2 linked regions of the Drosophila melanogaster genome follow. The protein of the gene in region 2 interacts with the protein of the main gene of each other region in a biochemical or structural test. Each region holds a gene or a part of one and is shown on either strand. Other genes may lie near its edges. The genes, in order: CG30031 and Rpt3.

Region 1 (3,415 bases), on a different chromosome or scaffold from region 2:
TCATTCATTTCATTCATTTCATTCATTTCATTCATTTCATTCATTTCATTCATTTCATTCATTTCATTCATTTCATTCATTTCATTCATTTCATTCATTTCATTCATTTCATTCATTTCATTCATTTCATTCATTTCATTCATTTCATTCATTTCATTCATTTCATTCATTTCATTCATTTCATTCATTTCATTCATTTCATTCATTTCATTCATTCATTTATATCATTCATTCATTTCATTCATATCATTCATTCATTTCATTCATTCATTTTCACTGTGGAGTTTCTATCGATATGCCAGAAGAAAGATGCTAGTTCGTTCACCCTGACACTAGCTGAGTAACGAGAGTATCTGATAGTCGGGGAACTCGAATATAGCATTCTCTTTTGTTAAAGAGTAAGTTCGGTTAACATAAGTTAAACTATGTAGTAATTGATCGAAAACGGGTACCTCAACAAATTACCTTTAATTTATTAAAATGATTTAAACCATTATTAACCTCCCGACAGAAATCTAGGTGTTTGTTATTTTTCAGGAGGTGAGAATACATTTTTTAGAAGGTTTCCTTTCCCATTTGCTGAATAAGACACATTACTGTTGAATCAGTAATAGGTCAAAACCACAATGAAACATAATAAAAGTAATATCCAAACTGAAATTTATTTCGCATACTTCTTAGGCATTGCTAATAACCCAGGAGCGGAGGGCAGCAACATCGGCATAGACACCGGGGTAGTTGGAGTAAGCGCATCCGTATCCCCAGGAGACAACACCGACGAGGACTCCGCCGGAGACCAGTGGGCCACCGGAGTCACCCTGGCAGGCATCCTTGCCGCTGGCAGCAGCGCAGATCATGGTGCTGCGGATCTGGCTACCGTATCCGTAGGTGGAGGAAGCACACTGGCTCTGGCTAACGATGTTCACGTTCACGTACTGCAGCTGGGAGGGGATGGAGCTGGATCCGTAGGAGAGAGTGCCCCATCCGGAGACGGAGGCCGCAGCGCCGTTGGCGGGGTTGGAGCTAGCCAGACCGATGGCCTTGATGGTGGAGCTGAAGGTCAGGGCGCCGTTGATCTTGATGATGGCAATGTCGTTGACCATGGTGTTGGCGTTGTAGCCCTCGTGGTTCTTGAAGGAGGACACAGAGAAGGTGACACCGCCGGAGCTCCAGTAGCTGGATCCAGCACGGATCTGCAGGACGGAAGCGGACACGGACTGCAGACAGTGAGCGGCGGTCACGATGACGTTGCTGGAGTAGATGGATCCACCGCAGGAGTGGCTTCCACTGCGCTGCAGGGAGATCTGCCAGGGGAAGCTGCTGATGGTGGTAGCAGAGCCGCCGACAATGCGGCCATCCAACTGAGGCAGGAGTCCCTCAGGGACGGTGCCTCCCAGGGCGCAGGCTACTGCAGACAACAAGATCACGAACTTCAGCATGGTGCGAATCCAATGAGTTGACTCTAAACTGGACACCCCTTTTATACGAGTTTCCAATCTGTTCTTGGCACTATAATCACAACTTTCAATTATTTTTATCACCTGCGTGTCAGGAAAACCCAAATAATACCGTTGAAGTGCCCAAATGATATTCCACAACTCAGAAGTCGCACGGCTCTTTATCACAAAAATAAATAAAAATGCAAGGAAAGTGTAACTACTTTTATATTACCTTTCTAAATAATTCGCGTTCTTTTTATTATATTTAATTTGCAAGGTATTGATGGGAACGTCTTTTTTCGACTTACATATTTAAATAGGGGATTAAACTTGTACAATAACATTGTGGAATTTTTTAAAAGTGGATGCTTGTCATTCAACTTGATTTAGTTCTAATCTAATCCAATTATTATACATAATTGTGTGCATAACTATTAATATTATTGGCTTTTTAAAAGAAAATAACTGTTTAGCATTTTAATTTGTGAATTTTGTAAAACCATTAATTTTAAGAACAATTTAATCGCCTTTGCATTAATTTTAATTACATGATTATGCGTTCAATTGCATTGTTTTCTAGTAATGCTCATGATGTTTCTCATAAGTTATATAATTTCTTTTAAAAAATTATGGTGTCTGTTTATTTAAAACACAATAAATTGTTTATAGAAATATAAATTGTTTTAATTTCGTTTAAACCCCGATATCTTTATGTGACTATCTTTTTCAAGCTATTTAAATGACCAACTTATTGCAAAAAAAAATCGTTTGGCATGAATCTGGACTTTGTATACGTATATACTTCTTATTCGCGAAATCTATTTGTCGGTCACACATTTAAAAAATATTTTGGATTTCCCTGACAAGCAAGTGATAAAAATAATTGAAATTTATGATAAGAGCGCCACAAAGAGATAGGTCCCTGTATAAAAGGGGTGTCCAGTTTAGAGTCAACTCATTGGATTCGCACCATGCTGAAGTTCGTGATCTTGTTGTCTGCAGTAGCCTGCGCCCTGGGAGGCACCGTCCCTGAGGGACTCCTGCCTCAGTTGGATGGCCGCATTGTCGGCGGCTCTGCTACCACCATCAGCAGCTTCCCCTGGCAGATCTCCCTGCAGCGCAGTGGAAGCCACTCCTGCGGTGGATCCATCTACTCCAGCAACGTCATCGTGACCGCCGCTCACTGTCTGCAGTCCGTGTCCGCTTCCGTCCTGCAGATCCGTGCTGGATCCAGCTACTGGAGCTCCGGCGGTGTCACCTTCTCTGTGTCCTCCTTCAAGAACCACGAGGGCTACAACGCCAACACCATGGTCAACGACATTGCCATCATCAAGATCAACGGCGCCCTGACCTTCAGCTCCACCATCAAGGCCATCGGTCTGGCTAGCTCCAACCCCGCCAACGGCGCTGCGGCCTCCGTCTCCGGATGGGGCACTCTCTCCTACGGATCCAGCTCCATCCCCTCCCAGCTGCAGTACGTGAACGTGAACATCGTTAGCCAGAGCCAGTGTGCTTCCTCCACCTACGGATACGGTAGCCAGATCCGCAGCACCATGATCTGCGCTGCTGCCAGCGGCAAGGATGCCTGCCAGGGTGACTCCGGTGGCCCACTGGTCTCCGGCGGAGTCCTCGTCGGTGTTGTCTCCTGGGGATACGGATGCGCTTACTCCAACTACCCCGGTGTCTATGCCGATGTTGCTGCCCTCCGCTCCTGGGTTATTAGCAATGCCTAAGAAGTATGCGAAATAAATTTCAGTTTGGATATTACTTTTATTATGTTTCATTGTGGTTTTGACCTATTACTGATTCAACAGTAATGTGTCTTATTCAGCAAATGGGAAAGGAAACCTTCTAAAAAATGTATTCTCACCTCCTGAAAAATAACAAACACCTAGATTTCTGTCGGGAGGTTAATAATGGTTTAAATCATTTTAATAAATTAAAGGTAATTTGTTGAGGTACCCGTTTTCGATCAA
Region 2 (4,377 bases):
CGTTCCCTGTCCAAGCTAATCAAAGTGAACAATCCGGATCTGGTGCTATTCGTGGGCGAGGCACTGGTGGGCAACGAAGCCGTCGACCAGCTGGTCAAGTTCAATCAGTCGCTGGCCGACTACTCATCCAACGAGAACCCGCACATCATCGACGGCATAGTGTTGACCAAGTTCGATACCATCGATGACAAGGTGGGCGCCGCCATCTCCATGACCTACATAACCGGCCAGCCAATTGTGTTCGTGGGCACGGGTCAGACGTATGCCGACCTAAAGGCCATCAATGTGAACGCCGTGGTCAATTCCCTGATGAAGTAAGCCAGCCGTCGATCCGGCTATCCTTCCAATGCTCCTTGTTTGCATCCACTCTTTTCACCGAATCAAATATATGGCTTTTGTCTAGTTTGTTGTTGCGTAAATGGAATGCTTTGCCCACTGTTGGCTGTTGGTTCGTTTAGGATTAAGGATCGCTTGGCACTTCGATTACAAGTTGTTTTGTTTTTTTTTATTTTTTTATTAATGTTTATAACTTTATGCGTACAAAGAAGAGTTTAGTGTGTTGGGGGAAAAAATGGGGCGGGAGTAGTGTGTATGAATTAATATAATCTATTTGTAGAACTCGTGCTCCTGCTCGTCCTTCTTGATATTGTTCTTGTAGCCCTTCTCGAAGTCCTTGGCCAAAACGATGTAGCGATTCTCACGCACCGCGTGCATGCCCGCCTCTTGGCAAATGGCGTTGATATCGGCACCGGAGATCTTGTCCGGCCGCGCCACAAACTCCTCCAAATCGACATCCTCGCTTAGGTTCATCTTCGAGGTGATGGTGGAGAAGACGAGTCGCTTCTGCCGGCGATCGGGCAGCGGGAACTCAATCTTACGATCCAATCGACCAGGTCGCAGCAATGCCGGATCGAGTGTGTCCGCCCTGTTGGTAGCCATGATCACCTTAACGTTCGTGGTCTGATCGAACCCGTCCATCTGGTTGAGCAGCTCGAGCAGAATGCGCTGCACCTCGCGATCGGCGCCAGTCTGCGCATCGAAACGCTTCGTGGCAATCGCATCGATCTCGTCAATGAAGATGATGGCCGGCGCGTTCTCCTTGGCCAGCCTGAAAACGTCGCGCACCATGCGCGGTCCCTCGCCGAGGTACTTCTGCACGAACTCCGAGCCGACGACGCGTATGAACGACGCCGTCGTATGATGGGCCACCGCCTTGGCCAACATGGTCTTGCCGCAACCGGGCGGACCGTACATAAGCACGCCGCGCGGCGGATCGATGCCAATCTGCTTGTACAGCTCGAAGTGGGTCAGCGGCAGTTCGACTGCCTCGCGGATCTCCTGCTTCTGCATGTCCATGCCACCAATGTCCGCATAGCTAACGTCGGGCTTCTCATCCGGCTGCAGCATCGAAATGGAGCTATCCGCCTCTGGTGGCAGCACGTCCACCAGCGCGTTGCTGTGCTTGTGCAGGGCCACCGAGGCGGAGGGCTTCAGCAGCTCGCGATCGATGGTGGACAGGATGCGCACATAGTAATTGGAGCCGGTGGTGGAGCCCACAATGCCCGTGTTCTGATCGACGGCCTCCAGGAACTGGCCAATCACCAGCGGCACCGACTGGATGCGCTTCACCTCCTCCTGGGCGTGCAGATACTCCTTTTTCAGGTTTCGCTGCTCGTCCTTGATGTACTCCTCCTGCACTTCAATGAACTCCAGTGTCTTTTGCAGTTTCTACAACACAATGGCCGCTTAGATGGGTGATCAAATGGAAGACCAGTGGACGACTCACCTTGTAACGCACGTAGAGATCCTCCATGTCCAGTTCGTCCAGGGAACTGTGCGCATCTTTTAGCTTCAAGTCGGAGAGCTCGTCCTGGTGGAAAAAGTGGAATTGGGAAAGAGGTAATTAGTACGCATGCCAGGCGGCGCAGAGAGGCAACTACGCACCTTTTCCGGTATCAGTACGTCCATGTTGTACGGCATTCTTTTCGTTCAGCAATGAGTCTCGTTTTATTAGTTTGCGTTTTCTGCGAGGCGACCAAAATGACTCGTCAAAAACAAGCCAGCAGTGCGTTGTGGTGGCAACCCTGTCCGCAATCGATTGTGATCTATCGATGGGGCCATTTATCTATCAAATTGTGCTGCTCTTTCAATCGGTTTTTTTTTTCGATATATACTCTTTCTGATAAGAAAGCAACTCCTCTTTATTGGACAATATCCTATACCAGTTAGTCTGTAAAGCTAAAATGTTGTATACAAATAAATCTAATATCACATGTCATGTTTCTCACTTAATATCCGGAAAGTATTTTTTAATACGTTTCAAAGCATCTGGTGATGGGAAAAAATCAGCTGTCTGATAATTGCCCGATATATACCAGCTCTGATTGGAACAAAAGCTGATAACAGATTTATTACTAACAAAAACTATTTCGAATGCAGATCGCTTATAAGTAATTGATAAAATCGCAAGTTATTCTAAGCAATTCACGTAGAACCATGCCAAAGTATCGCTGCTCGAGACGCAACTATCGATAGTTCGAGTACCTTTCTCGCCAGCGGGTACAAGTGTGTACACACTGGCAAAACCCGACCATTTTGACGCGATTTCGATTTCCCATAAGAAAAAAAAAGAGTAGAAAAACACACACATTTAACATTTCGGTCGCTCCTGCTGCTTCTGTGTGTGCTATGTGTGCGTGTGCGAACGAACCAAATATATACACACACGAGCGCTGGTAGGACAGTGAAATCGAATTTGCTGTTTATATAGCACAATTCGATGGCTGATAATGCCGCCGCCGTCGCCGAAAAATCGTTTCCCCAATATCGCTAGCATCAGAACGGGAAAGAGAACGGGTACGAGTACGATTCCGATTCCGATTCCGAGTACGTTTCCCACAAAGTATCGTTGTCGTTGTCGTCGTTGTCCTGCTGCCGTGCCCCGCCCCCTCTGGCCGCGCCGCCGCCCCCTCTGCGCCGTACGCACGCATCGATTTGGGCTAAACGTTAGATACCTCCTAACGCAGTTGTTAGGGTGGAAAGAACGGCCAGGGAAAATTGAATGCGCTACACTGGTGGTCGAGCTGCTGCAATGCCGTGCTTAAATTTAAGTGCAAGGCACTGATACGGATCCGTTGGCGCTCCTGGTCTGGTCCGTATCCAAGCGAAAAGAACAAAATATACAAGAAAAAAACAAGAAACAAAACAACAAAACGGAAAGCAATCCCGTGAAATCCCGGAATACAGTGCAATACAACGAACCGAAACACAGAACAAAACGAATAGAACGAAACAAAACGAAACGTATTTAGATACGCAGGAGAGACCAAGTCGGGATATCCAAGTGGACAGTGTGGTCTTGTGCAGTGGAGTGGTAGTTATGCTATATATAGCTGTTGGCCAAAACAATAGTGTCCGATAACAGAGCGAGATCAATTCGAGGAGTTGAAAATGTTTATTGTATAATTTCCAATTGAGCAGGTGTGCGTGCGAGTGTGTGTGCGTACGTGTGTGTGAGTAGTTTTTGTTTTTCGCTGCTTCTTCTTGCGGTTTATTTGTCAACAAAAAGAAGAAGGAAGAACGAAGCAGTGTGCGTGCAGCAGTAAATTGTTGTCCGCACACCCCGCACTGCTTGCAGGAGTGGCGAAGCAGTTAACTTGTGCAACGCAACCACGGACGACCCAGTGGCCTCCACATGAAGACCATGTCGCGCTTCGGCCTGCGCCGTGGCTTCAAGTTCTCGGAGGAGCAGGTCAACGGCAAGAATCCAATTGGACCGGCAACGGCACCAGCCACGGCCGCTGCCTCATCTAATCCGCGCAAAAAACGACAGACCCGGCAGGAGGAGGATGTGGACGCGGAACAGGAAGAGGTGGAACCGCACGAGGATCAGCTGGAAGCGGAACAAGAGCCGCTCTCGCTGATCTGCAGCCTGCCGCTGGAGCGGCTGCCCCGTTTGGTGGAGAAGCTGCATCAGATGACGGAGGAACGGGAACGAGAACGGGAGAGGGAGCGCGAGCGCGAGCGGGAAGAGGCCGCCGGCCTGGGTGGAGCCGCGCACTCGAAGGTCCTGTGTCTGTACTGTGATAGGAAGTTCGCCTCCGGCAAGCTGCAGGCCAAGCATGTGGACAAGTTTCACACCGAGCGGCAGGAACGACGCTGCAGCGGTCGTTCCACCAGCTCCAATTCTCATCCCGCCGGCGGCTTCCCCGGCTGCCAGTGGTGTGGCCAGCAAGGCAATCGCCGCCAGGCCACGCCCCCGCAGATCTGCCTGCCGGCCAAGCATTTGGAGCAGCTATTCCAGCACCTCAGCGAGCAGCATGCAGATAAGTATTTCGCCTGCCAGCCGTGTCGCCTGCGGTTCCAGGACGCAGATCA

Evidence for each region.
Region 1: of the proteins of Rpt3 (region 2) and CG30031, one has a biochemical effect on the other in vitro, tested with the Drosophila melanogaster proteins (one study listed by BioGRID).

What each region holds. Positions count from the first base shown.
Region 1 is NT_033778.4:11,348,851-11,352,265, reverse strand, and holds CG30031 (uncharacterized protein), read right to left. Parts: upstream 1,456-3,415; 5' UTR 1,440-1,455; coding exon 678-1,439; 3' UTR 645-677; downstream 1-644. Other genes in the region: gammaTry (gammaTrypsin), read left to right, coding at 2,411-3,172.
Region 2 is NC_004354.4:11,122,916-11,127,292, reverse strand, and holds Rpt3 (regulatory particle triple-A ATPase 3), read right to left. Parts: upstream 2,193-4,377; 5' UTR 1,981-2,192; coding exon 1,945-1,980; intron 1,871-1,944; coding exon 1,787-1,870; intron 1,729-1,786; coding exon 607-1,728; 3' UTR 508-606; downstream 1-507. Other genes in the region: SrpRalpha (signal recognition particle receptor alpha), read left to right, coding at 1-318; CG11122 (uncharacterized protein), read left to right, coding at 3,695-4,377.